Linked DNA regions of Xenopus tropicalis. The protein of the gene in region 5 interacts with the protein of the main gene of each other region in a biochemical or structural test. Links are inferred from orthologs where the notes say so. Each region holds a gene or a part of one and is shown on either strand. Other genes may lie near its edges.

Evidence for each region.
Region 1: of the proteins of stub1 (region 5) and irf1, one has a biochemical effect on the other in vitro, tested with the Homo sapiens proteins (4 studies listed by BioGRID, with this or other methods). The link is inferred for Xenopus tropicalis from reciprocal best matches to the Homo sapiens genes STUB1 and IRF1.
Region 2: the proteins of stub1 (region 5) and ube2v1 form a complex in vitro, tested with the Homo sapiens proteins (4 studies listed by BioGRID). The link is inferred for Xenopus tropicalis from reciprocal best matches to the Homo sapiens genes STUB1 and UBE2V1.
Region 3: the proteins of stub1 (region 5) and ube2n form a complex in vitro, tested with the Homo sapiens proteins (11 studies listed by BioGRID and IntAct). The link is inferred for Xenopus tropicalis from reciprocal best matches to the Homo sapiens genes STUB1 and UBE2N.
Region 4: the proteins of stub1 (region 5) and insr form a complex in vitro, tested with the Homo sapiens proteins (2 studies listed by BioGRID, with this or other methods). The link is inferred for Xenopus tropicalis from reciprocal best matches to the Homo sapiens genes STUB1 and INSR.
Region 6: the proteins of stub1 (region 5) and runx1 form a complex in vitro, tested with the Homo sapiens proteins (3 studies listed by BioGRID, with this or other methods). The link is inferred for Xenopus tropicalis from reciprocal best matches to the Homo sapiens genes STUB1 and RUNX1.
Region 7: the proteins of stub1 (region 5) and hsf1 form a complex in vitro, tested with the Homo sapiens proteins (2 studies listed by BioGRID, with this or other methods). The link is inferred for Xenopus tropicalis from reciprocal best matches to the Homo sapiens genes STUB1 and HSF1.

What each region holds. Positions count from the first base shown.
Region 1 is NC_030679.2:36,218,909-36,223,657, reverse strand, and holds the start of irf1 (interferon regulatory factor 1), read right to left. Parts: upstream 3,321-4,749; 5' UTR 3,229-3,320; intron 1,606-3,228; 5' UTR 1,601-1,605; coding exon 1,514-1,600; intron 915-1,513; coding exon 815-914; intron 436-814; coding exon 259-435; intron 53-258; coding exon 6-52; intron 1-5. UniProt on the Homo sapiens protein: Transcriptional regulator which displays a remarkable functional diversity in the regulation of cellular responses.
Region 2 is NC_030686.2:36,460,507-36,465,239, forward strand, and holds the start of ube2v1 (ubiquitin-conjugating enzyme E2 variant 1), read right to left. Parts: upstream 3,223-4,733; 5' UTR 3,125-3,222; coding exon 3,103-3,124; intron 1-3,102. UniProt on the Homo sapiens protein: Has no ubiquitin ligase activity on its own. The UBE2V1-UBE2N heterodimer catalyzes the synthesis of non-canonical poly-ubiquitin chains that are linked through Lys-63.
Region 3 is NC_030679.2:56,088,735-56,092,982, forward strand, and holds part of ube2n (ubiquitin-conjugating enzyme E2 N), read right to left. Parts: intron 2,850-4,248; coding exon 2,603-2,849; intron 1,402-2,602; coding exon 1,261-1,401; intron 757-1,260; coding exon 716-756; 3' UTR 1-715. UniProt on the Homo sapiens protein: The UBE2V1-UBE2N and UBE2V2-UBE2N heterodimers catalyze the synthesis of non-canonical 'Lys-63'-linked polyubiquitin chains. This type of polyubiquitination does not lead to protein degradation by the proteasome.
Region 4 is NC_030677.2:111,788,891-111,793,138, forward strand, and holds part of insr (insulin receptor), read right to left. Parts: intron 3,391-4,248; coding exon 3,072-3,390; intron 2,627-3,071; coding exon 2,478-2,626; intron 489-2,477; coding exon 344-488; intron 147-343; coding exon 1-146. UniProt on the Homo sapiens protein: Receptor tyrosine kinase which mediates the pleiotropic actions of insulin.
Region 5 is NC_030685.2:14,822,706-14,826,430, reverse strand, and holds part of stub1 (E3 ubiquitin-protein ligase CHIP), read right to left. Parts: intron 1,669-3,725; coding exon 1,503-1,668; intron 1,348-1,502; coding exon 1,257-1,347; intron 1-1,256. UniProt on the Homo sapiens protein: E3 ubiquitin-protein ligase which targets misfolded chaperone substrates towards proteasomal degradation.
Region 6 is NC_030678.2:13,905,621-13,909,868, forward strand, and holds part of runx1 (runt-related transcription factor 1), read left to right. Parts: intron 1-2,359; coding exon 2,360-2,516; intron 2,517-4,248.
Region 7 is NC_030682.2:152,297,381-152,300,653, forward strand, and holds part of hsf1 (heat shock factor protein 1), read right to left. Parts: intron 3,256-3,273; coding exon 3,190-3,255; intron 3,057-3,189; coding exon 2,987-3,056; intron 2,880-2,986; coding exon 2,683-2,879; 3' UTR 1-2,682. UniProt on the Homo sapiens protein: Functions as a stress-inducible and DNA-binding transcription factor that plays a central role in the transcriptional activation of the heat shock response (HSR), leading to the expression of a large class of molecular chaperones, heat shock proteins (HSPs), that protect cells from cellular insult damage.

The DNA.
Region 1 (4,749 bases), on a different chromosome or scaffold from region 5:
TGTACCTTTTTCTTGGCTTTGCTTTTGGAGTCTTTTGCCTTGGATCTGCGTTCTGTGAATGAAATAAAATATCCAGGGTCATTCCAGCACTGAACTACAATTTTCAGCAAACCCAAAAGCAAAAAGAGGTAGGACATTACTTTTATACATCTTATTAAAAATATTAATTTTCAGGCTCTGTAATGTAAGATATGTGTGCACCTGAAATCATAATGGCTTCTGATGCATGGTGACATATGGCTCATAATAAGCATTTACCTTTCTTCTCGGCCTTTATTTGAGGCGGGAGCATTTTATACACTCGGACTGCACTGGAACCTTTGTATATGCTTTTGTCTTTTACTTCTTTTATATCTGGCAGGGAGTTCATTGCACAGCGGAAATTGGCCTTCCAAGTCTTAGGGTCTGTCTCCTTCTCACCAGACTTAATACGTCCTGCAGATTTGAGAAAGAAAATATTTTCAGAGAATAAACCAAGACCAAAACAAACTTTTGTGTTGCTAACGCAACTTTTTGGCATAATGTAGGATATTGGGGATAGAAGCAAATGAGAGAAAAGTATCATCTTGTATTATCTGCTGAGAGACATATTGGCTGCCTTGTTAATGATGTAATTGTTAACCATAGGTTCATGGGCAGCAACTTGGCATTAAACTAATACAACTAGAATCAGGCTAGGAAAGGCTACATATTGCAGTTATATTACCAGTTCCTTTAAGAATCTAAGCTAAACTGTGCTTCAGGACATTAGCTTTATACATCCCCTAGAGACTTTATAATATGCAGGCACTTCCACCCACCCTTTTAGCCGTACCTGTATGGACAGCCCAGCTACGGAAAAGGCACGCATCTTTATTGATGTCCCATCCATGTCTAGCAGCGTGTTTCCAAGGGATCTCAAATATCATTTCTTCCTGCAGAAGAGAAGATCTGCTTATTATCCTCCTCCAAGGAGCACTGATGTTTATAAACAAGTTGCTTTGATAGCCAAACCACTATATAAAATATATTCTCATGCGTACAGGGTTGCCATCTGGCCAGTATTTTACATAATGGCAATGTTATTCACAAGGCAGATTGATTAAAAGAGATAGAAAACGTTGTTAACCATAAGTATATTTGCAATGTTTATTATGCAGAACTACATCTCTCTAACCCTAAATCTGCCATTTATCACAAAGCAAACAGAAAATCCTTCCCAAATGTCCTAAATCACTTCCCACGCCCACAGAATTCTCTAAATGCTTCAGTTATTTTAGTAGGGAGAAACCTTGCAGAATTTTCTTTTTCTTCTTTGCTAAATATACTCCATAACTGCAATTGTTTTTACTAACAAAGATGTAGATGTAAGGTTGTTAACATTAAAGTGACAGTAGCACTAAAACAGGAGCTATCCTTTTATAAACAAGCGCATCACAGCGTTAACTGACAAACATAATATAGAAGTTCCAGGCTTATACATGTGTTGTATGCCACTGCTCTAAAGGGAAAGTTCATGTATACATGCCCTTACCTTGTTGATCCATGAAAGTCCAGGGATTTTGTTGGAGTTTATTTGCTCCTCTAGCCATGGCCTCATCCGTAAACGTGTAACGGGCATTATTTCTGCAAAAGAAAAACACACAAGGTCATTTTTCGCTGTCAGTGGGGAATTCCATTCTTTTTTTGAAATCTTCATGCTTTGTATGTTATTTCCAAACTGCCCTGGGATGACACCAGTAAAATTACTTTATTACTATTCATCACAGATCTCTTCCTTGAAGTTTTCAACTATGAAATATGGTTCTACAACAGTTGCCAAAAGTTGCCTGTGAACTGGCAAAACCAAACGGAGTGCTAAACTCACATATAAAATACTGCATAATAAAATTAAATTTCCATCAAAGCAAATAAAACTCCCAATGTGTATTTTATTATAATGTTCTCATCCAGCCAAGACACCAATTTCTTTTCATTTTTTTGCACTTTTTCATATATATATTTGGAATTACAACTCCTATTCCTATACTACTATTACTACTGGCTTAATCAGTGCAATGAAATATAAAGACTGTATTACATGCCAGTGCCACCTAAATGTTTCCCTTTGAATCTAAGACAAAACTACAAGCTTTGAGAATATAAGTGGGAATACTGCCATCTTGCACAACACAATGCTGAAAGCTGCTGCCAAAAGCAACATGTGGAGCTTCACAGAGCTGGGTTGTGCTGCTTGAAGCCACAAGAAGATAGCAGGGATAGTTACGCCCCCAAGCACTGGCTTACATCCTCTGAAACGCAACCTAACTGGCTGCTGTGTTTTTTTTCCTCTGTGTTTTTACCGCCAGCATAAAACGGACCGCCCTGATCTCTGCTGCTACCAAAAAAAAAAAAATAACATTTTGCTGTAAAGAAACAAATGAACTTCTGCACCACAAACACCCAGACCACAAACAGTTAAACCTCCCCGCATGCACATTAAAGACAGCACTTCTACAGTGCAAGGAAGAGTGACCCACAGCTCACAGCTGATGCAGAACCTCTTTGGGAAACGAGCAGTCACGACACACAGACTGAGCTGCATTTTTACTCTTTAGATACTGAATTTAACTCCTGTTTGCATGCAGAGATATGCAGTCTGTGCCTCTGCCAGCATCACAGGACAGGAGTTCAGCAATAGCTGGAGAGTCACAAGTTGCAGAAGGATCAGCACAGAGTCACAGGAAACATTTATATGCAGTCTCATCATACAGTGCAAACTTTCCCACACTCCATACTAAAAATGTATTTTTTTGCCCTATCTATACCAAGGGGTCAGCCTTGTCTTCCATTCTCCTATGCCTTGCTGCTTTTTAATTCCAACTTCCTCCTTCATTGGATACAGAAGCAATAAGGAATACATAACAGCATGATAAAGTGCCCACTGCACACACAGCAACATCTACTGGCTGCTGATCTGCTGTCTAACTATCTAACTTAGCCTAATCCTGATCTTTTATCATTAGCTATTCCCTCAGCCTAATCCTGATCTTTTATCATTAGCTATACCCTCAGCCTGACCCCCATCTTCTATCATTAGCTATACCCGTCAGTGCCAGAGCAGAGGCAAATCCCAATGCATTGCACATAATATGCCAGGCGATCATCACCCCGAACATCACCAGCCTCCAGCATCAGATTCTATCATGTTTCGTGCATTTAAAGGTCCTTTTTTTGTTCTGCAGAAGCAAATGAAACGATGAAGTTTACCTTTCTAGCAGGAATTTGTAATCCAGAGAGAAAAGGGGCGACGTGAATTAGAAATATCTCCTAAACGAGCGATTCCTGGAGAGATGTTTCCCTGAGAGAGCCTGAGTGACTTTATTATGTATAGCGGGGAACCCCAGGTATTAGTTTGTTCGGCCCGCCCACTCCATGTGTTTTGCTGCGCCGCTATTGGTAGGGGCTGGGCTAGCAGCTCGGCATCATTTCGGGGAAATCAGGCTGTTGTACAGTAGTGCGGAGAGAGAAAAAAAAAAAAAAAAAGAAGGGGGAAGTCCGAGCCTGAAACTGATATCCCAGCTAATTACTGGCCTGTGCATTGCAAGGAATGGGATGGGAGTTGCAGTAATGCTGCACCTTGTGTTTCCCTGAGTAAAAACAGCGGCAGCAGCAGCTCACACCTTCACTACTCACTGTAAATATCTGTGGGAAGTGTGAGCAGGTGGTGTTTGCAACCTGTAGGAGTACTTTATAGGAATTAATATACATATATGTTTTACTATTTATAGTTGCATGGAATATATATATATATACACACACATATGTATACACACACATATATATATACACACACATACAGTGGTGTGAAAAACTATTTGCCCCCTTCCTGATTTCTTATTCTTTTGCATGTTTGTCACACAAAATGTTTCTGATCATCAAACACATTTAACTATTAGTCAAAGATAACACAAGTGAACACAAAATGCAGTTTTTAAATGAGGGTTTTTATTATTTAGGGAGAAAAAAAATCCAAACCTACATGGCCCTGTGTGAAAAAGTAATTGCCCCCTGAACCTAATAACTGGTTGGGCCACCCTTAGCAGCAATAACTGCAATCAATCGTTTGCGATAACTTGCAATGAGTCTTTTACAGCGCTCTGGAGGAATTTTGGCCCACTCATCTTTGCAGAATTGTTGTAATTCAGCTTTATTTGAGGGTTTTCTAGCATGAACCGCCTTTTTAAGGTCATGCCACAACATCTCAATAGGATTCAGGTCAGGACTTTGACTAGGCCACTCCAAAGTCTTCATTTTGTTTTTCTTCAGCCATTCAGAGGTGGATTTGCTGGTGTGTTTTGGGTCATTGTCCTGCTGCAGCACCCAAGATCGCTTCAGCTTGAGTTGACGAACAGATGGCCGGACATTCTCCTTCAGGATTTTTTGGTAGACAGTAGAATTCATGGTTCCATCTATCACTGCAAGCCTTCCAGGTCCTGAAGCAGCAAAACAACCCCAGACCAACACACTACCACCACCATATTTTACTGTTGGTATGATGTTCTTTTTCTGAAATGCTGTGTTACTTTTACGCCAGATGTAACAGGACACGCACCTTCCAAAAAGTTCCACAAGGTATTTTCTCAAAAGTCTTGGCAATCATTGAGATGTTTTTTAGCAAAATTGAGACGAGCCATAATGTTCTTTTTGCTTAAAAGTGGTTTGCGCCTTGGGAATCTGCCATGCAGGCCGTTTTTGCCCAGTCTCTTTCTTATGGTGGAGTCGTGAACA
Region 2 (4,733 bases), on a different chromosome or scaffold from region 5:
CCTGCCCACAAATACTAATGGGCACAGTTCTCATTGTCCAGACCTAGCTGGGCACAATTAATTCTCTGTCAGTGGCACAACCTGCTCTTTTAAGATGGCACTTGCCCTGCCCACAAATACTAATGGGCACAGTTTTCATTGTCCTGTCCTACCACGACACAATTAATTCTGTCAGTGGCACAACCTGCTTTTTCAAAAAAGACTGCCCTGCCCTTGGCCATCGGCTGCCAAAAAGACAGGTGCTAGCACAGCAAGACCCCTTTGTTACCTTAATTCAGGAACGGTCGGTGCGATACAGAAACGCTCGACCATGCACTCCCCCCCCCCCCTTTGGCATTACCCTAGCCGAGAAACTGCATTTGTCTTTAAATAAACGAAAGCAAAAGAGAAAGGATTGCATTATTAAAGAAAAAGGAACCAACAACCTGCAACTTGCAGTATCTACATTACAATCCCGAGCATGTATGGATAGCCTGGAGGTCTTTTAGTATCACAAACTATATATTAAAAAAAAAAAAACTGCTAAACCTCAAGGGAAAAGCTGTGAAAGTTACAACACTTCCTATTCGGAAAGGGGGAGGGTGAAACCTGTTGAAGAGGTAAATTCCCTGTTAAATTAAATTACCATGGCATATAGCAATGAAAGCATACATATTAGGAATTAGTTTTTATCCATAAGGAGACATCTAGGCTTGTTGAAATGGCAAATCAAGTTAGTTGCTAGTAATATTTAGAGTGAAGACACACAGAGCTACTAGTAGCAGCTACTTGTCACGGCTACTAAAATAGACAATGCTGATCATTTACTGATAATTGTCTCTATGTGTGTTTTAGCAGAGGCAATTCTCAGTATTGTCTATGGCAGGGGATTTTCTGGAGTTTAATAGCCATGAGAAAGTAGCTGCTACTAGTAGCTTAGTGTGTCTTCACCCTTATACAGGACCCAAACAGTTCTGTTTAACCTGTCCAAACTGAGGCTGAGATTCATGTTGAGACCAGACAGAATGGTCACTTATCTACCAGCTAACTGTACTGCCCAGACTTCAATCTACCTAGAAGGAAGTATTCAAGGGATTCCAGGGCACCTGAAAATAATGCCCTGGGGGTGCAGGACATTGCACGGGCACAGACTGGATGTCTAACATGACAGAATATTAATATGAAGTTATGTATTGTGCTTCCTATAGTGCCCCAGGGAACTAGGGAAGGTGCCAGTTTGTGGCCATAGGATACAGTGCATTAGCTTGATGGAGGCAGCTCCCAGTGCGGGCAGCCATGTTGTTTCCCACGTATGCGATTCACCCTCCTATGTCACAAGCATGCGCATAATGAGCGAGTTGTGGCAGGTACTTGGGGAGCTCGCTCCTGGTGAGGGCAGTCTAGTGCTGCCGGGGGCTTAAAAAAAAAAAAAAAAAAAAAAAAAAAAAAACTACTGTTTCCCCTAAACTGAGTAAAGATGGCCATACGCTGGCTGATTTCAGCTGCCAATATATCAGTCCTTTAGATCCAATGTGCCTGTGTATGGGCACCAACAATCTCCCTGTTTATCTGCCTGTGTATGGGCACCAACAATCTCCCTGTTTATCTGCCTGTGTATGGGCACCAACAATCTCCCTGTTTATCTGACTGTGTATGGGCACCAACAATCTCCCTGTTTATCTGCCTGTGTATGGGCACCAACAATCTCCCTGTTTATCTGACTGTGTATGGGCACCAACAATCTCCCTGTTTATCTGACTGTGTATGGGCACCAACAATCTCCCTGTTTATCTGCCTGTGTATGGGCACCAACAATCTCCCTGTTTATCTGCCTGTGTATGGGCGCTAACAATCTCCCTGTTTAGCTGCCTGTGTATGGGCGCTAACAATCTCCCTGTTTATCTGCCTGTGTATGGGCGCCAACAATCTCCCTGTTTATCTGCCTGTGTATGGGCGCCAACAATCTCCCTGTTTATCTGCCTGTGTATGGGCGCCAACAATCTACCTGTTTATCTGCCTGTGTATGGGCGCCAACAATCTCCCTGTTTATCTGCCTGTGTATGGGCACCGACAATCTCCCTGTTTATCTGCCCGTGTATGGGCGCTAACAATCTCCCTGTTTATCTGCCTGTGTATGGGCGCTAACAATCTCCCTTTTTATCTGCCTGTGTATGGGCACCAACAATCTCCCTGTTTATCTGCCTGTGTATGGGCACCAACAATCTCCCTGTTTATCTGCCTGTGTATGGGCGCCAACAATCTCCCTGTTTATCTGCCTGTGTATGGGCACCAGATCTTGATCGGGCAGGTTTGATTCTTCTGTCGGACCGGGGACCTCATTGATGCAGTCACTGCACTAACGGTGCCTATGCCCACTGTTTTAATTTGATAATTTGGCCCTAGGGTGGGCATATCGGGAGGAGATCCACTCTATGGGCGCCCTCGCCAAGCAAGCGTTTCTTACAGTGTAAGGCCACCTTTAGGCCACACTACTGATGGGGAAACAATTAGAAACTGAATGTAGTGCCTTTTTCTCTAGTCCTGACTGCACTATTAATCCCCTGGTTTCTGCTACATTGCTTCAGGAGTCAGTACCAGCAGAGCACATAGAATTTTCATTTGCCTATGTGGCAAAACCCAGTGGAAGTCAGTGACTATTGGGACGTTGCTGAGTAATTCTTCTGCAATAAATCCTGTTTGTGGGCGGTGTTCCCCTTTAAACGTGTGGCCCTGCAGCTGTCAAACATGTCTGATTGCCCGGCATTAGTAAGGGAGAGCCCAGGCAGCCCTCTGCAGCCGCCCAGCCCGGGGGAACAGCAGTGCAGGCAGGGCCGAGTCTTGTCACTGGCGGATTGGGAGCTGTAACACCTAGTGCTTCCCTCCCAGGCCTCCGGGGGCAGCTGATTCCGCGCTACCGGCACAAGCAGGAACCCGGGGCTCCTGACAGGGCAGAGCCGTGCGGAGAGGTGCGAAGGCCCCGCAGCAGCGCTACCCGGGCCAAGGCACCGCCCCACAGTACAGCAGGAACCCCAGAGAAGCCAGTTCCTGGCCGGCGGTGCAACCTGCCCTCAGCAAGCCCTCCCCCCGCTTCCCTGTCCCGCAGCGCCCCGTCACCCAGCTCACCCGAGACCGTGGTGGCCGCCATCTTGCCTTCGCAGTGCTCCTGAGCCGGCCTCCCAGTGACGCCACACAGGGCGGGGAGCTTCAGCCGGCTGTCAGGCAGGGAGTGGGCGGGGAGAAAGGGCTGACTCACACGCACCATAGAGACGGGAAGAGGCGGCGTCAATACGTCATTACGTGCTGCGTCTTGCGTCATAAACGAGACTGACATGCTTCATAAGGGAAATGTATGAATAGGAAAAGTGTAAATGTGTCAAAAATGAGATAGATATAAAAAAAATAAACTAAATGGGCAAATATATGGCCCAGGTATGTACCTATAGCTAGCTTCTGGGAGCAAAATGTTTTTTTAATCTCTAGGCCTTGTCTTCTTATATTGTATAAATATGTTTGTATTTTACACATTACAGTATGATGGTACAGCTTATTGTGTGATTCTAAATATGTCCAACAACTCACTGCAGAGAAAGAGAGGCTCAGGTGCACTGCCCAAGCCTTTAGCTAAGGGAGTGGATATCATGTTTTTTTTGAAAAAAACTCACTGAGCATATCGTGAGGCAGAATTCTTGATTAAAAAGTAACTTCATTGGAGCTGCCATATTGTTTCCTTTAGTACAGTACAGTATGAGGGTACAGCTTATTGTGTGCCCAGAACATTCCTTCTCTGTATATTTGTATTTATACATATGGGAGGGAGGTGCCATAATGTTTCCCTTAGACAGTACAGTATGGGGGTACAGCTTATTGTGTGCCCAGAACATTCCTTCTCTGTATATTTGTATTTATACATATGGGAGGGAGGTGCCATATTGTTTCCCTTAGACAGTACAGTATGAGCGTACAGCTTATTGTGTGCCCAGAACATTCCTTCTCTGTATATTTGTATTTATACATATGGGAGGGAGGTGCCATATTGTTTCCCTTAGACAGTACAGTATGAGGGTACAGCTTATTGTGTGCCCAGAACATTCCTTCTCTGTATATTTGTATTTATACATATGGGAGGGAGGTGCCATATTGTTTCCCTTAGACAGTACAGTATGAGGGTAGAGCTTATTGTGTGCCCAGAACATTCCTTCTCTGTATATTTGTATTTATTCATATGGGAGGGAGGTGCCATATTGTTTCCCTTAGACAGTACAGTATGAGGGTACAGCTTATTGTGTGCCCAGAACATTCCTTCCCTGTATATTTGTATTTATACATATGGGAGGGAGGTGCCATATTGTTTCCCTTAGACAGTACAGTATGAGCGTACAGCTTATTGTGTGCCCAGAACATTCCTTCTCTGTATATTTGTATTTATACATATGGGAGGGAGGTGCCATATTGTTTCCCTTAGACAGTACAGTATGAGGGTACAGCTTATTGTGTGCCCAGAACATTCCTTCTCTGTATATTTGTATTTATACATATGGGAGGGAGGTGCCATATTGTTTCCCTTAGACAGTGCAGTATGGGGGTACAGCTTATTGTGTGCCCAGAACATTCCTTCTCTGTATATTTGTATTTATACATATGGGAGGGAGGTGCCATATTGTTTCCCTTAGACAGTGCAGTATGGGGGTACAGCTTATTGTGTGCCCAGAGCACAATATTTTATATTAAGATTTGTCGTATACATATGAGGAGGT
Region 3 (4,248 bases), on a different chromosome or scaffold from region 5:
ACAATAATAAAAAGGGTAAATTCAATGCAAACATGTTAGGCTTCATTAACTTGGTACAATGCTGACATTTCCTTAGAAATTTGATGAATGTAAATATACAGTGTATAAAACAAAAAATGTTATGATATAAGCATTCTCTGCTTCATGGATGGATTTTTAGAATCATCTCTAATTCTCTGTTTAATAAATCGTTCCTACAGGGGAAGGGAGGATGGGGTGCAAGTACATGTTACTTTGAATACAGATTTGACCAATGCAAAAACAAAAGTGCATCTAAAAAGAAAGGGAGGGGCAATGACACATTGTTTTAAAGTTAACAGAGCCAAACAAATAGTTGTTTTATCTTAAAAATTAAAAAAAAAAACCCAACTGTTTCAGCAACTAACCTAACTCTACCTTCATTCACAGTGCTCATACTCAAATCATGATGGGTATAATGGACATCAAGAACTTTTGCCACCCCTTTGAACATTGTGGAACATGCTGACACGATGGATTACAGCCTCTGCGCATGCGATACAACAGTGAATTAGAACAAGACATATTATTTGCTAATGTGCATTTAATCACCAAAGATGACCATGTCTGGGCTTTTTATTCCATATATTTTATTAAGACTGTGTCCATTAAACACAAACAAAAACAAAACAAAAATAAAGGGAAGAGGTCTTGGCAGAACAGGAGAAATGATGTGCACTTGAAGATCAAGCCGAATTTAAATATTATTCATAGCATGTAGCCTAGTCCATGCTCTGGCTGCAAGGGAAGAGAGAGCACAATGAGAACAACATAGTACCTGCCTATACAGACAATGTTATGCATTTACCTGCAGAGATATTCAGCAAATTTCTCCTTTTTACCAGTCCTTCACGTTCATGCATACAATGCAATACACTGAGCGCACACACTGTATTATATTACATACACAAACACACTATAAAATGGTCAGAAAATTCCAGAATCTCATTCCAGAATGTTTTCTTTAAATCTGTCTAAGAGAAAACAAGATCACTAAAGACAATTGCACCATTAGAGACTGAAAATGCTCAAATTCGTGTTTTTTCTGACACTGTTTGGTTGCAATCTACTGGTCACAACAAAGCTATAGCTAAATAAAAAACATAAAATGACAAAGCACAGAGGGGATTCATTTTCACCCCAAAGCTGTATTTTGGTAATTTCAATCAGTATTGTGCAAGAATGTAAAAAATACAGAATAATATTAAAAAAATAAAAATTAAAATCTTCGCTTTTCAATACCTGTTTCTATGGCTTGGGCTTCATTTGTCTTCCACTGCTCAGCTACATCATTGGCTAATGGGTCATCTGGGTTGGGAGCACTTAACAAAGCCTGAATTGATAGGAGCACGGTACGGATTTGCAGAGCTGGTGACCATTTATCTATACATGAAGAAAGAGAAAATAAGACCCTACTCTTTGCCTTTAAATTCAAACATTCATTTCATGTTCACATGATCATGTGTTATTTATTATGAGTACAAATTATATGGTACCTTACTATGAGTAAATATGCAATTAAATAGTATGCACTCAATAGTAAGAAATCCAAGTCTGGCTTGGGACTACATGGGAGTAGGAGAAACAATAGGTTGCCTGGAAACAGTTCTAATGTGTAGCGCTGGCTCTTTCTGAAAGTTCAGCCACTGAGATGGCTGCCTACACAGCAATATTACAACTAAAAAAATAAATGTTGGTTCAAGAAAATTTTTTTAAATGGTAGAGTGAATTATTTTCTGTTTAAACAGTGTAATTTAGAAATAAAAAGTACACCATAAAAAATCATGGCAGTATCCCTTTAAAGAACATAGTAAAGCCCAAAACCACAGTTTTTACACAAAGTAAAACACGTCTATTACCATTATATTGACAGGTGTCAGCAAACAATGTGTTCGGCAAACAAAAGGAAAAATCCCAAGAAAAAGGCATACTGAGCAACATCCCAGATAGGTTTTTTTTTATCTTAATTAACATAAATTCATGACTTTAATTTATAATAATAAAAAAAAAAAAACTTGCAAGGAATGTTTAACCATTTATGGTTTTAACAAAGTAGTATTAAAATACCAATGCAATAGATATACATTTCTGGGTTACATTGTAATCTAAGGGGAAAACAACATGTTGCCTAGCAACAAGTCTAAACAAGTTCTTACTGCTACTGGCACTTAAAGAAATAAGACTAACACCATGTGGTGTATTCTCTATGCACATACGGCAGATGCCATGTCTGTCAATGATAACTGAACAAGATGGATTAAACCTAATTGGCATTTACTCCACTGGCATTTCTGATGCATATATTAGCATACACCTGTATGCAGTTACCAACTGGAATGGAACACATTAGAACACTGTAACATGCTAGTGCAATAGTTACACAATGTCAGTGTGTATAAAAAAAAAAATAACTGAACTCCACAATGCAACAGTTCAGAAGGTAGCACAACTTATTTTTGTTGGCTCTTAAAATGATTTAATAGTCAGCACTTAAAGGCACGCTGTATACAGTGATGCCTAAGTCATTTTTAAAAAAAGAATCTGAAAAATAATAGCGTCCTTTTAAATAAGAGGAAAAACTTACCTTTCAAAATATCTAGACATATTCTTCCCAACTTGTCTACATTAGGGTGATAGATTTTGGTCATGAAACGTACTTTAGGCGCTGCCATTGGGTATTCTTCCGGAAGAAATAATTCAAGTTTAAATGTCCCTCCCTCAAAGGGGGAATCCTGTGGACCAGCGATAAGCACATGGAAATAGCGAGCATTGTTTTCATCTGGCTCAGCCTTAATTCCGGGGACTGGCTCTGCCAGTAAACGCTGGGTTTCCTGCAATGAAAACACCAGGACAAATGTAAAATGTGTAGTGACTGAGGAGATAATACACATATATTATATAAATGAAGAACAGAGTTCCGCACACACAGGGAGTTTAAAAAAAGAACAAAAAATCTTTATTAATCCAACGTTTCCAACACTAATTGTGTTCCTCTTTAGGGATATGTATAGATATAGATATATAAATGCCAATACATGTGTAGTAAACTTATGTTAAAAAAATTAAAGGTACTTTTATGACTATCATCTCTAAAACCCACAACAATATTTAAACATTAGGAACCAAACTAAACACACTTTTATTACATTTTATCTAGCACTTCTGCTTTGCAGCGTTGGGGTCCTGAGTTCAATCCTGGCCTGGAGTCTGTATGTTCTCCCCATGTCTGCATGGGTTTCCTCCAGGTACACCAGTTTCCTCCCACACTCCATAAATATAAACAGAGTGTGTGTGAATGAGCTAGGGACCTTAGATTGTAAGCTCCCCTGGGGCAGGAATGATGAATAATCTCTGAAAAGTGCTGTGGAAATCAGTCAGTGCTATATAAATAACAGGAAATTAATATATATATTTAAAAGCACAGTAAAAAAAATTCTAAGCCTTCCAGTGCTAAATATAAGGATATCAGTAATTGCCAAAAGTCCTTTTTTGACTAATGCCTAGAGGAAAAAAAAGAAAAAAACCAGCCATCTCAATCTGGCACTGGTCACCACTTTATGTATGTCCAGTAGGGTGCTTTTTATTTTTTTTATTCACTTGTACTAGGAGTAATGAGAGTGGCAGACCAAATGCCACTGTTTTCCACCAGATGGCAGTTGTGGACATAATTCAGACCCTGGGATGGCACTCCTCAGCACTGATAAACCACACCAGCCCAGGCTACTATTTCACCTGCCCCAGGCATCCTTTGTGGCTTGTCTGTATGCTGGTGCTAGAGTGACAGATCAGAATTTGAACCTGGAAGCTGAACTCTATCCCTACTGCACATGCCCAGGGCTGCAGCAAAATATTTCCTGTATAGGGAAAGATGATGGTGGTGCTCACTAGAACAGCACCCAGGCTGGCCAGGGTCTAAGGTCAACAATCAAACACCCCTTTCATTTATAAGCTTAGCAATAAGGATGCAAGTTTCTAGTATTATAAGCTTAGTAATAGGGATCGCACCAAATCCATTGAGACTAGGCTAAATGCCACATTCTCCCCCATGTTTGGTTGATCGCTAAATCAAGTTCAAACCCTAATTTGCACAGTCGAAGAGGATAAAAATCCAAATAAAACTAAGTAAGATATTGCCACTTTCAGCAGGCCAGAGCTTTAAAGTCACCATCAGTTGTGGGTTTGCCCTTGGGTGCACTAAACCAGGGGTCCTCAACCTTTCTTACTCGTGAG
Region 4 (4,248 bases), on a different chromosome or scaffold from region 5:
CCTCCTCCATTTGGTGAATCTCCGCTAGACATAGTCGTGGGTTGTGATGGAAGAAGAGCTTGCCATGTATGATGGTCAGGTTGTGCTTATGCCAGTCCCACAGCTGGCGTAGACTGGGATTATCCAGAGCATAGAAGGAATAGTTACTGTAAAATAAATCACAATGTTAGGAAACAGTTAATCTAAGCTGATGTCACACAGGGAGATTAGTAGTTGCTTTCTTATAGCTTTCTAAGCTGTAAGTACTTTATTGTGAGAGTTCAATAAAAACTGGATATTTGATGGTTTACAAAACTGTAAAATGTGTTAAAAAAAGGGAAACCTGTGATTCCACCCCACTCACCCTGCTTCCAACACTTCTCCCCTAATTAAACGCAGCTTGCGGAAGAATGACAAAGACACCAATGCATATGATCTTCTGATCTTAAGATATCCAGAAATCTCCTCAATGAGGCCCAGGTTAGCTTCTAATTCTGTTGCAATATTATCTGGAATAAAAAAAACAGAATGTTAATGAACAGATCAATAACAAAATTAAAACTGAGTTCTATGGGAATCACTCGAAAACATATTTTACTAAATGATCATTTCTAAACGAATTTTCTGTTAGAATTCACATTTTGCTTCTTTCCAGTCTGTATAGTAAAATTCGATCTGGTTGTCAGGGTCACTGTTCCTGGCAAAAACAGCAAAAAAAGTCTCTTTCTCTTCATCTTCCGGTTGCCGGGTAATTAAGTCTCATTGTAAGCAACTTTTCAGTTATTTATTTTGTTGTTTTTAGTTGGCCTTCACATTCTGGCTCTTTTCCTGCTTATTTTTTTTTTTTTGGCTCTCTACAATATATCTTCAGTTGTAATCTCTGCTCAAAGATAGCCATTTCAAACCCTTTCGGCTGCAGAAAACAACATGTCAATAATAGTTCTACAATGATAATTTAAGATAAAAAATTCCCTCACAAAAAAAGACAATAATAATACAATGACCATAAAAAAATTGCTTCTTACAGTCTTCACCCCAAAAATAACATTGCAGATCATTCTTATCTGGAAAAGCCCTAAGCAACCTTGGGAAATATGTATTTCCTCTGTGGGTCTGAGCTGGGCTGAGCCTGAGGGCCTATTAGGATACGATTTGGAGAGAAACATTATTTGTTGCAATTATGAAAACAGTGGTTAAAAAATTGGCATTTTTACACAGAAAGATAAAATTAAGTATTCTAGGGCCTATCTTGATCAGATACATTTTGACCCACCTTCCTATTACATTCAAAATATATTTTCATTAGTACATACAACCTATAAATCAATGCTGACAAACAAACACGAGAAAAACTTCAAAGGTGTTTTACAGCTGGTAGCTAGAAGTGTCAGAGAGGGAGCGGCGCCTTTGGATAAACACTGAACTTAGAACTTGGAACTAAAACCTTGGTTTGATTATGTGCAAGGTCCTTGTGACCTTAAACGAGGTAAATCTCTCAGTAGCTCCCACACCAGACAAGAAGTTGTAATGCATACAGCACTGAAGCTAAATAAAAAGGTGTACAGATACACAAAGATTTGATAATTATTTGATCATTCTTGACTGAATTGACAGGCCAGAGGACCCTAAAAAACTATTTTGTCAATACCTTGATCTCTGGCCCATTTGGCCATCCACACCAATGCCTCTGGCTTAATTAACAATGTTAGTGAAAGTAATAAGTCTTAGCTAAATTAAACTGACCTTATAAAGTATATAAATAAATGAAAGCTGGACCTCTAATGTGACAATTTCCAATAAAAGGAGGGTTATCCCCCTGAAACCTTGAACACTTCTGTCTAATTTTTCTACTTTTAAAAAATGACATAAAATTCAACAATACATAATGACAGAAGGTAATCATGTGATGACGCTATTCATACCCCTATAATGTAGTAAAAGGCAAAAAGTTTATCTAGGTACAGTAGCCCCTGCAACCAATACAATGCTTTTAAACAGATTACCAGTTCATTCTACGAATCCTACACTATACGAATCCTAGTACAGAGCACTTCTGTATATATAACCAGACATTACAATGTTTGCCATACCCTCACTTTGTTTTAGGAAGAGCAGTTTTGCAGTACAAATCGGCCACCATCAACTTTATTCCCAAGAATATTTTATTGCCCCCTATTTATATGAATATATTTTTTATTTATTTATTGTCCACAGATTTATATTAATAACATTTTTTATATCACTTCATATATTCCAGCCCACAAACAGGTAGAACATAAGGTCAGGCCATGGAAAAAGGTCACAAACTAAATAACTTAAATGTTGCCAGTAGCAACTTTTACGTTGCAAAAGACACAATTTGTTGGCACACCTACAGTAAAATCAACCTTTATTTAAGCAATTAAAACCTGTACATTAAAAGTAACTGAGCCCTCTGGTCTCGTTAAACCTGTAAATGACTCTGTACATAACACTGTCTATCACTGGGTTATACTTACTGCCTCCACGGATGTTGATGATAAGACTACCGTTGACCACTGTGCACCCTCTTAATTCTTGAGCAGATGTCACAGAGTCTATGGTCTTGACACTTTGGTAGATGGTGCAAACTTTGGGGCAAGGTCCTGCGCATGGTGTACAAGTACGGCTGTAGAGAGATGGTACATCAGAATAGAAATAAAAAATATCTTCCTTTCATACCAGAAAATATCATATTATGGTGTGTTTTAATTATTGTGAAATGTCATCCCTATATCAATGACCCTAAAGCTATAGCTGCTACAGATATTTATCCCAGAGGCAAAAAGAAGATGTTTGCATAACATTCCTTCAGTAAAATTAAAATCAAATATACTTAAAATCAAAAACGCCCCAATATTAATGACCCCATACTTACAGGATGCTCTGCACAAACTTTTACAGAAAAAGACCCCCCAAAACTGTATACCACACTATTAAAATTTAGCATAGTAGAAAATACTGGAGCTATTTAAACCATCCCAAAATGTAGTTATACTTCATGCAAATCCTGTGCACCTTATGCATTTTGATGGTAACAAAATCTACATATTGGCACAAAAAAAGCTACTTACGTAGTTGAGTTGGCAATATAGCCTGATGGGCAATCTGGCATGCACTCTCCCTTGTGGATGACATAAGGAGGACAGGAATTTTCCTTATTTGGGCACCGGTTGTGCATTTCTTGACAGGTATTGAAGTCAATGCACCGCCAACCCTGGAACCGGTAAGACCCCTCGGGACATGCACTGATACACACACCCTGATACTGGTAATGCCGGCAGGCGGTACACTCAGTTGGATCATTAGGCTTTCTGCAGCTTCCAAGGCACTCTGAGTGGCAGCACTGTCCATCTGGCAAACAACCACTTCCCTTGCATTCTGAAGGGCACACTATGCACAGAACAGAGAAAGTTTGTAAGACAGTAAGTATATAGAACCAGTACATAGAATTTGTTATTTTATGATATTGTAATTTATTTTCTAGTTAGTGCCAGGCATTTCCTCTTCAAGAGAATGAAGTAGTTGCCACTTTTCAACACCCTGGAATGTGGCCTGAACAGGGACAGGGGTTTTATGTCCAGATATGACTTTAACTAAGAGATCTGCAACCTAGAAAAACACAGCTAAGGACAATTTACTTCTCAAAAGACAATTTCTTTAGGCTGACTTCATCTCACAACAAGGTGCTAATTGCACTAGTATTTGCATCCTTGGCAGAGTGAAGCTAAACTGTGCATTCTAGGAAGCTTGTCCATATCTGGACCAAAATGTGATCTTGTCTTTACATGTCACATTTTCCATTTGTAGTTTATTTATTACAGTTTGATATAGACAGACAGTTTGATAATGTAGTGCACCCTTATCTTATCTCTTTTTTTGTTAAGGTCAATTTTATTTATTGTTTTTAATACAAAAACAAAACACACAAAAACACTGATATAAGTATAGTTTCCAGGTCTATAAAATATACATCAGAGTCAATGAAAGAAGTATAGTTTGTGGTACAGAGAAAAATAGTATTGCATAGTATCCAACCATGGTGACCAGATACATTCAAATTTGTTCTGAGTACCCCTAACCTCTGAGGTAATTTTTATAAGTGGTATCGTCTTGCTGACTAGCTGTTGCCATGAGCGGACACTAGGTAAAGTAGTTCCCATCCAGTGCATCATAATATCTTTCTTAGCATAATATAGCAATGACCAGTATCTGTTGCGAGCATAATTGGTTGAAATGATATCATCTAAG
Region 5 (3,725 bases):
TCCATAAAGATGTCTTTCCTCACCAGGACCCCTCTCTGTGCAGAGTGTGATTTCTGCTCTGTAGTGTTCCAGGGAGCGGGACTTCAGCTGCTACAGGGGCACTGGCTGATAGGGTAACTCACCTGCCACTCAGAGCACAGATCACAGCTGTACAACATGACAAGGCCTCAGCTGATACAACCAATAAACCAGCATCCCTTATATATATTAAGCGGGGTGTTTTGGCATGGAACTTGGCTCTGATGGGCACAACCCTAAATATGGCCAACGGTATGGGAGTTCTAAGCAACTTTATAACTGGTCTTCGTTATTTATTTGTTATAGTTTTTTAATCATTTGCCTTTTTCTCCAAAATCTTTGCAGTTTTTACATGGGGGTCACTGACCCCAGCAGCCCAAAAACTACTGCTCTGTGAGGCTCCAGTTTTATTGTTACTTTTTGTAACTTTCTCTTCTATTCAGGCCCTCTGATATCCAAACCACTCCCTGGTTGCTAAGGTAACTTGAACCCTAGCATCCAAATAGCTGTTGAAACTCCAAGCTGGAGAGCTCCAGGACTGAAAAGAAAATAACTAAAAAACTACAAATATTAAGAAATGAAGACCAATCTCAGAATATCATTCTACATCATACTAAAAGTTAACTCAAAGCTGAACAACCCCTTTAAAGCTGACATAAACCGAATAGGATTGTTTAGTCACCAATATGGATTCATACAGCTTAGTTACCATCAAGTAAAAGGGACTGTCTTATTGAGCACAGTGGCACCCCTCTCCAACATGGTTTCCCTTTAGGTACTGAGACAGTGGAAAAGCAGTATATAAAGGTGGCCATATACAAGTAGATTTAAGCTTCTGATTGGAGTGATTTAGACTGATTCAAAACCTTATCTGCCCATGTATGGGGCCCCCTGATGGACCTTCGGGGACCGCATCGACTCATTGACGGCTCATTGTAATTTGGTCCTAAGGCCAAATGATCAAATTATCCCGATGTTGCCCACCTGAAATGGGCATATCAGGAGAAGATCTGCTCGTTTGGTGACCTTGTGTATTGTAGGTAATGTAGGTGGGCAACATCGGGATAATTTGACCTTATGAACTCTGCCTACACAATCAAATATCTCTGCCACAACCCTTACAAGCAGGAATATCCATGGAAATTTCCATCCTGCGTTAGATAACCCAGCCTAGCAAGAAAGACAATAATGGTGCAAGAAACCCCAGAACACTATGCCCCCATAAGACTCCTACTCACATGTTTGGAAGCCACACTAGACAACAGGGCTCGACTTCTACTCTCCTCTACACTATCCTCTTGGTGTTTTCGCTTTGCTTCTTCAAGTTCTCTGTAAACGAAGGATAAAATAAAAATATTAGCTGAGGCCGAGCTGTGGCGGAGACGTGATCCATAGACATGTTCAAAGAACCCAACATAAAAGCTCATTCCCATCCCATACAAGTATCTTATGGCCGAGGCTGAAGGCCAAATGGCCACCCCCACCTCTCTTTCTCGGCCAGGATGAGTTTGGTGAGATAGGAGTGCAGCTCATTCTCCTGGTTGATTCGTCTCTCTTCTATGCTGTTCCAACGTTTCTTCTTGGCGATTCTCAGGGCACTGGGGATATCATCTCCGAAGTTCAGCCTCTGCTCCTTGGCCAGGTTATAGGCTGCAGGGGAAGGAAGGAAATACCAGTTAAAGATTTGTAATGTGGAAACTGGCTGTTGGTTTAGGTTGTGCAATACAAAGGAACACAGGTAAAGGTACATTGCTAAAATAATCCATAAAGAGGGACTATGTTCAACGCTCTCTGTGTTTATACAGAGAAAGATACACAAAAGCCCCAGTAACACTGCTGCCAATATGACACTATGCTACGGACTTAACGCTTGCTCATTTGTAGCCCAGTCACTGAATGCCTCCCCCTTGGTAGCTAATTCAATCAAAAATTCATTTTTAATTTCTATAGTAACCATAAAGAGGTAGGGCTGCTTAAAAGGTACCAGGGGGCCCTGGGCAAAATTTCACTGGTGGGCCCCCACTGCCCCAAGCAATTTGTGATAGAATAACCCTCAAGCACGTAAAGTTTGATATAGTAAAGCAGGCAGTAAAGAAATGGTCTGGTTTGACTGAAGACATGGCTTTCCACCTTTGCCAGGTTATAAACCCAGAAAAAGGGGTGTTTGTGATGATGTCACCACACAAACCGCTGATGTCATCACCTATCTAACCCAGACAGGTGGCAACCCTTGATCCACTGGTGTGCTGCCCTCGACCAACAGCCCTGGGTGATGCCAAAGGAAAAATGGAAAGAAATTACAATAACCCTACTATAGAGCTCTTCAAGTTAATGAGGGGTCAGCCATCTTTGCTCAATGCTTCTGCCAAAAGTTTGCCCCTTGGCAAATGCCCCTTTTGCCCATTTATTAAAAGGGCCCTGTAAAGAGGTATCCACCCTGTGTTGAATTCATGGGAATAAGGGGGGGTCACTGCCGGCACTCAACTCTGCCACGGTCAAGTCAATAGGTCTGTTTAAAGCTAAGCTGACTCTTATAACCCCCGCCATCTATACTATAAAATTATCTGTCAGCCATACGTAACAAACATGCACAAATAAATACATATTTCTAAGGGGACGTGAATCCCCATAACCACAAGATTATTAGCCCTGCCTGGCACACTATACAGTAATACATATGAGACAGGGGTCATTTACAGCTTCTAAATAAAGCTGATTTTTCCCTAGCTGCATTAATCAATAATACACACATATGTACACTCAGTTTATTCTCTACCCAAACACAACTTGAGCTTTTTGAAAAGTAAACATAATTTCAAGCAACTTTGCAATATACATCAATTAAAAATATGCAGCCTTTTCATAATTTGTAATGTAATAATATGGTTTGTAACAGTTCCCTAAGCCCCGCCCCCTGCTGATCTGACTACTTTGAGGCTCAAATAAAATGTATCAGTAGTCGCCTGTCCTGTCAGTCTGCATCCTCCATATCCCACAATTCCCTGTACATATGATGCCATTAAGGAAAGGAACATCACAGTGCAATGCATTATGGGTTATATAGTTCCTGCATGCTGTCTGTAAGCTGTGGAGAAGTTGTTACAATTTGTAACATCAATGTTTTAGTCCCTCCTCCCCTGCCAGGATTTCAAATGATGCAGAAAGAGAAGAACTGCTTTGCAGCTGGATTTCAGCATATAAAAATGGTATTCATTCCTACTTTAAGGAACAGATTACAGTGATGGGTATATTAGGGGTTTCTGTGTTTAACAAATATTGTTTCAGAAGCCGGAGTTCCCCTTTAATAGCATTGCCCTCAGCTGACTCCAGTATACAGAGTACAACAATCTGCCTCGCTATCTGGGGCTTCCCGCACGTGTCACCTTCAAGGGAATCTAAAGCTTCTGGAAGTCAGAGTGTGTCCAAGAGCTAACGCCTTGCTAAACCTGTGTGCCCGGCCTCGGTGTTCCTGTTTTTCAAGCTGGTTCATGACCTAAATATACTCTTGCTGTCAGGCAGCACTAAGTCCGCCGGGGTAAACAAACAAATATCATTTGTTGCTGCGTAAGCTCTTCTGCAATTAAACAGATATCAGGAGTTCTGCTCCACAAATAGCACAGGCACTATAAGGGCTCTGGCACACGGGGAGATTAGTCGCCCGCGACAAATCTCCCTGTTCGCGGGCGACTAATCTCCCCGGATTGCCA
Region 6 (4,248 bases), on a different chromosome or scaffold from region 5:
CCTGTTGGGCAGGCAATACACAGTAGCCTAGAACTGCTAGTTAGATGCTGGTTAATAGCCTAAATGTTTGCTTCAGCCAAAATAAGACTTTGAAATGTTTCCATGTGTTTTTATGTGTCATATGTGTTTGATTAGATTGCAAGCTCTTTGAAACTGGAAGGCTTTAGTCCTTTAATAATTGTCTTCTCTCCTATAAGAAAGTGCTGTGTACACTGCCAGCCAATGAAACTATAACTCTTGTACTTTGTTACAACGGTAGATTCCGTTAAATCCAATTAAAAAACAGTGGCCTTTGTTCAGTCTCTTTTTAACCCTTATTCCTCCCATTGAAGGGGGTTATGGAGGGCACTGCGCAACTTACAGTTAATCCGTTAAGGCTGAGCGGCGAGACAAAACAGTGTGTATTGTGCAAGCCCCTTCATGTCGGTTTAGTCTGTACCTCGCCTGTTTGTCTACTGAGTTTATTTCAACCTTTACAAAGCAAAATACAGTGTAAAAGCATTTTTTCATTGCTTTTTTATGTCTCATTCCTTTTTATTTTTTCAATGTCTGTTTCTTCTGAAAGATGAGGCATTGAGCTGAGCCGCTAAGACTCTGACAAGCAGGCGTCAGTTTACTTTGCCCTATTGAATCCATTGCCTCCTGGAGGGGACTCATTAGCACTGGGCCCTGCCTGTATCAGTGGGTTAATGTAAGATCTTATCCCGCACTCTCTGATAATCACTTTATCTGGCTATTGTATACATGACCTCTATGGATAGTCCCATTACACAGGGCTATTGGGCTGGTGTTAATTATCTGAGTCAGTCTTTCCTGTTTTAGTGGTTGATTGAAGAGTATGTTTTGGCCAAATCTGACTTGTATAGATAAATACATCTTCAATATGTTATAATTTAGCCACAGAGTTGGAGTTACATGGCAATCAAGTTTAGCCCTTGTCTGTTATCAGTAGTTCTGTCAGTCTAGCTCCGTGTCCAGATGTCTGTATGTATGTGTGTGTGTGTGTATATGTATATATTTATGTGTATATGTGTGTGTGTACGTATATATGTGTGTGTATATCTATGTGTGTGTATATGTATGTGTATATGTATGAGTGTGTATGAGTGTATGTATGTGTGGCCATTTGTGCATGCGTGCATGAGAGATTAAAACAGACTTTGTGGCGCCCTGTTATTATTTAAACTGGGACTGTGGCTCTTCAGCTGCTGTGGAAAAGTAACTCCCAATAGCCCTTCCTCTTCAGCTGTCTGTGGATGCTAGGAGTTGTGCTTCAGCCGCAACAGAAGGGCTGCAGGTTGGACAGTACTAACAGCAATGCTTTTTATTTTGCCGTCTCCTGCTTTTCTTTCTATGCTCAGTCTGCCTACCTGTAACTACTGGGCCCCAGTCTGCAATGAGTCCAGGGCTGTCACCCATATATTATCTATCTATCTAACTGTCTGTCTATGTATCTATCTATCTATCTATCTATCTATCTATCTATCTATCTATCTATCTATCTATCTGTCTGTCTGTCTATCTATCTATCATCTGTCTGTCTGTCTATGTATCTATCTATCTATCTATCTATCTATCATCTATCTATCATCTATCTATCTAGCATGCCAGGTCAGATTTTATTTAGTGTAAATGTATATTACACTGACAAAGTTCACATCTTCACCTATATATATGTGACATTATTGGCCCACTTTTATCCCACAATTCTTTATTTTCACCCACAATGCATTGCAAGTACCTGTCATTTTGTTTTCACTGAATATACCAATCACCTATATATCCAGGGCTTATCTATCTATCTATCTATCTATCTATCTATCTATCTATCTATCTATCTATCTAACTATCTATCTATCTATCTATCTATCTATCTATCTATCATCTGTCTGTCTATCTATCTATCTATCATGATTCTATCTATCTATCTATCTATCTATCTATCTATCTATCTATCTATCTAGTTTTCTATATATCATCTATCTATCTTCTCTGTAATGTCAGTATTGTATTTACATGTTTTATTTCATCTGTGTGTTTTTAATTATTTCATTGCTTGCCTATCTTCCTTTACTCTGTATAGAACAGTTCATAGGGTACTAATAGAATATTATCCCTCTATGGTTCCAAGGCTGGCAGGTTGATCTGATAAATGTAGGAACTAATACTGCTACTGAGCTGGCAGCTATATACGCAGTGTGCAGGAATATTAGCAAGACTAAATGCCACTTAGATGGAGGAAGAGTTCCTGGTTCATAATGTTATTATTTTTTTCCTATTGTACAGGGCAGGGACAGATTGGTAAGATTTGGGGATAAAGATTTTTTTACCCACCTCAATATTCCTTCTCTTGCCCCAGGTGGTGGCCTTGGGAGACGTTCCTGATGGGACACTGGTGACAGTGATGGCTGGCAATGATGAGAACTATTCCGCTGAACTAAGGAATGCCACAGCAGCCATGAAGAATCAAGTGGCCCGCTTCAATGACTTGCGATTTGTCGGAAGATCTGGAAGAGGTAACCAAAAATTAAAAAAATATTGCCTCTGTTTGCACGTGGGCCACCAGCCTGTCTGATGCTGTTTCTTTAGAATTCTGAATTCTTTACATAGGGACGAAATAAGGAGAGACAGCAAAGGTCAATGTCATATACCTTGTTGATGTGTAGCTAGAGCTGGAGTCCAAGCAACTCTGTCAAGTCGCATGGTGGGGGAGATAGGGGGTATATCTTGGACTTCCTCAAATATAGCCCTGGCACTACCACCCTGGGAGGACATAGATCATGCCTTACCCAGAGCATAAAAAGTAAAAGTTTATTGTGTACATAGAACATTCCATTTCTTAATTATTTGGCAGTAGAAGCTGCCATACTGCAGCTCTCACCTTTTTAAATACCAGCAGTATTTTAAATACCAGCACCATCTAGTGGTCTTCTGTAATTAGTGCCCTGATACTGAAATCTATGGAGAAAGAACTAACTTTTCATTTCAAACCTTATGTATTGGGCTTGGGTTGAACATTAGCCATTGCTTGCTGGTCCTCAGTACCTGACAAGGCCTGGCTGCGAAGAGACTAGTTGTGGTGTGGCCAATGACAATGTTGTGTTTGACTAGCAATGTGATCGACAGATGTTGCAGTAAAACATGGATTAAAAGAAATAGACAAGCTAGCCTTCTTCTTCTTTTTATTTTAGTTTAGAATCATGACACCCAAGCTGTGAGGCTGCCCCCCCTTAAGTAGATGACTAAGAAGTCCCAGTATAAAGGCCAGTTACAGTGTCATTTGGGGACAATGTGCATTTGCTCATTTAGATTCTCCTTCGAACCCAGCTTGAATATGAGTTTGAATAGGATTTGTGGGCGAACACAGCCGGCTTACAAAATGGAAATATGGCTGAAAGGTTTTATACAGCAATCTTTTCAAGGGTCAGTAAGCTTGTTGTAAACTAAAGGGGCCCTGGTCCCCTTTGGACCTCGGTGGGGGGGCTTGAGGTTTCCACCTGGATGGTATTTTACTACCCTGGCCAGTAGAAATGCTGCTTAATGCCAATGTTATAAGAAGGGAAGAAAGGTGAAAAAGTCAGAAGGCTGGTATTTTTTTCCAGAAAAGGTTGCATGAACTTAAAACGCCCCAAAACACAGGTTTACACTGTATTATACTGACATTATGGAAACAAGCTTGTTAAATAATATATCAATAATCCTGCTCTATTTGTCCTGCAACACTAGTACTCTGATACTGACTGTACTTTTCGGGCCTATAATAACTTAACATTTCCCTAAATCTACACTCTTTACCAAATATTATACATGTTAATGTATCTATAAAGAGTTTTGTATAGTGATGCCAATATCCTTCTAACCCTTCTATGGTATGTGTTGGGATCTGGTGCCCTGCACTAAGGCCGACCCAGTGTGTGGGATAATGTGTGACCTGAACTATTGACTTTCCTTTGAATATTTTGAAATGGAGCAATGTAATTATTCCTGTTTGCATGGGGTCTAGTAACCCATAACAAACAAAAAGCAGTTTACAGTTACTGATATGCAGTAAGAATAATGAAAGCAATTGCTATAAATTATCAGCCTCTGAGCAAACTTTGCACCTGTTATTTTATTGCCCCTTGATATTCATTATCAGGTGCTATGTGTTAAACTAGGAGCTCGCCCAGGGTTAGATATTTTATTGGTCAGGAAGCTCTCTCTCCGTTATAAGGAAAATCCACCCCCTGCAGCTTGCAATGCAAAAGA
Region 7 (3,273 bases), on a different chromosome or scaffold from region 5:
GCAACCCAACCAATTGGTTTATTCACTAGGATCCTCACTTCTCCGCAACCCAACGACTGGTCTGTCACTAGGATCTTCACTTCTCCACAACCCAACCAACTGGTCTGTCACTAGGATCTTCACTTCTCCACAACCCAACCAACTGGTCTGTCACTAGGATCTTCACTTCTCCACAACCCAACCAACTGGTCTACTCACTAGGATCTTCACTTCTCCGCAACCCAACCAACTGGTCTATTCACTAGGATCTTCACTTCTCCGCAACCCAACCAACTGGTCTATTCACTAGGATCTTCTTTCTCTGCAACCCAACCGACTGGTCTATTCACTAGGATCTTCACTTCTCCGCAACCCAACCAACTGCTCTATTCACTAGGATCCTCACTTCTCTGCAACCCAACCAACTGCTCTATTCACTAGGATCTTCATTCTCTGCAACCCAACCAACTGGTCTGTCACTAGGATCTTCACTTCTCCACAACCCAACCAACTGGTCTGTCACTAGGATCTTCACTTCTCCACAACCCAACCAACTGGTCTATTCACTAGGATCTTCACTTCTCCACAACCCAACCAACTGGTCTTTTCAAAAGGATCTTCACTTCTCCACAACCCAACCAACTGGTCCTTCAAAAGGATTTTCACTTCTCCACAACCCAACCACATGGTCTATTCACTAGGATCTTCATTCTCCGCAACCCAACCAAGTGGTGTATTCACTAGGATCTTCACTTCTCCACAAACCAACTGGTCTATTCACTAGGATCTTCATTCTCCGCAACCCAACCAAGTGGTCTTTTCACTAGGATCTTCACTTCTCCACAACCCAACCAACTGGTCTTTCAAAAGGATCTTCACTTCTCCACAACCCAACCACCTGGTCTATTCACTAGGATCTTCACTTCTCCACAAACCAACTGGTCTATTCACTAGGATCTTCATTCTCCGCAACCTAACCAACTGGTCTTTTCACTAGGATCTTCACATCCCAAACTCTTATCTTTGCACCTCAGGAGGCTGGTCTGATATTTTTGGTGGCAGCTGCTGCCTATTAACCTACATCACTATATCTGTAAGATTCTTATTCAGTGGAAAGAGATTAACATTAAACTGCCAAAGTCTGGGGGGGGGGGTCGTTGAACACTTTGAGGGCAACAACTGAAAGCGCGCGGTGATTAATGAGATATTCGGTTCCACAACACCAGCAGGCCCATAGTGCGCTGCCACTCGCAGAAGGATCTTCCACTTTCCTAATCTTAACCCACTGTAGCTGATTCAGAACCAACGTTCAGTCTGGAACCAGATCGCCCTCTGTTCTGCTTTAAATTAAAAGAAGCAGCTTTGTATGATTTTCTCTCTGGTACACGGAGACCGGCCGGCCGGCCCCAGCTCGTGTCTATGTACCCGGGCAGTCGGTGGCTCCTGCTGTTCTGATGTTTCAGGCTGTTGGCCCCAATGAATGTAACAATAGAACAGGGGGCCAGAGCACGTACAAACCCTTGTGTAGCAGCCGCCTGTTGAGCTTGTGGGCTGGCCGGTCCGGTTCTGTACAGGATCAGCCCACGTAAAGCCACGTTGGGAGACTGCAATGTTTCCACGAGCCACCAGATTAGACATGATGTTTGTGCTGCCCGTATATACAAATGCCCATTTTCCCCACCCACTTGCCAACCAACCCACAGACCATTGGCTGGGGTATCATGAGAAGATGGGGGAAAGATTGGTTCATGTTATGCAGGAAGCACGGGGTTAAGGGCTGAAGAGAGAGGGGCAAGTATGAAGATGAAGGAGCCGCTGATATTACAGAGGGCAGGATTTAGCATCTCCCAAACCTGTACTACACAGGGGGCAGTGTAAAGGCCTGGGGGGCCCAAAGTAGGGTGACCAGATCACTTGAAGATTCAGGGGCGCATCTAATAAATACATGCTGCAGGGCATCTGAAATCAACTGCAATCAGTGCGGCCCTTCCAGTTGGATTTTTTAGATGTGCCCCCCAAAATACAAATGATCTGGTCCCCCCCCAGCCCAAAGGGCACCGGGAACGGCACCCCCTATGAAAGATGAAGACCCCGGCAGTGGAGAGGAGACCCAATGATGAATTTGGGGGGCAGAATGGAATTAGGACCCTGGTGGTGTTAAGGGGTAACTATATTTTGCAGTGGCACCCACTTTCCTGGCTAATGAGCCCCAGTATGGGTGTAGGGGGGCAAACAAGATAATGCAGCAAATCAGATTTTTAGGGCAAGTAACACAAAACTGCCCCAGAGAACTAACCTCCTTGGAACTGCTCCAAATCCCCAGATTCAGCCAAACTCCACACCTTGTCACATGACATGAAGGGGCCAAACAATAAGCATTGCCCCAAATCTTAATAAGTGCTGAAAAATGCAGAACCCTGGTGACTCTATGCAAGTACTGCCCCTATTGCCCCACAGATCCCTAGGTGGGAGGGAAACTGCACCCCTAACCAAGGCAGCGGGGGGACCCGTTCCCAAAGAGGCACGCAGTAGGCTCCACTACTAGAAAGACACACTGAACAAGCCAAAAGCAGCCATCCGATTGGTCCATCTTGCAGCAAGATCAGTCCCTTTGGCATGCAGACGCTGGGGCAGAATGGGGGGGCAGAATGGGGGGGCAGCAGCAGCACTACCACACGCACTTCAGTAAAGTCCCCACATATTCTAGGAGATGCTGGAGCCCGCCGGCTTGCTCTGGGGGTCCCAACACAGCAGAGAGAGGGTGGGATCCTCTGAATAATCATCCCCTTCTTCTGCAACGTACGGCTCGTCCCCCTCCAGCTCCAGCAGAATGGGCAGGTCGGAACCGCTGGAATCCATAAGGATGAGGGGCTGAGCCGTATAATGGACGATCTGCTTTCCTGCAGGGAGAGAGAGACGTGGGTGAAGCACAGGGGGAGGAGCAAAACAGCCCTGGGGGGGGCCCTCTAGTGGGCAAAGCCTGCATTGCAGCAGTGTGTGCAGGTACCTGCGTCAGGTGTTCTGGACTCCACTGTCTCCGATGCCTTCTGATCCTGAGACGACAGCAGCTCCTGGATCTGAGAGACAGCGGGGCATTAGGTACAGCACTAGCCAATGGCACACAGGCAGGGGGAAAGGGGGGCTGTTCCAAGCAGGCACGGGGGGGGGCAGAACTCACTGCACAATCCATATGGGGCCCATTATACTCACACTGGCAAGGCTGGAGTCAGGGTCGGGCAGGGGCAGGTCAGGGATTCCCAAGGACGGACTGAAGAGCTGAAATAACACAATAAT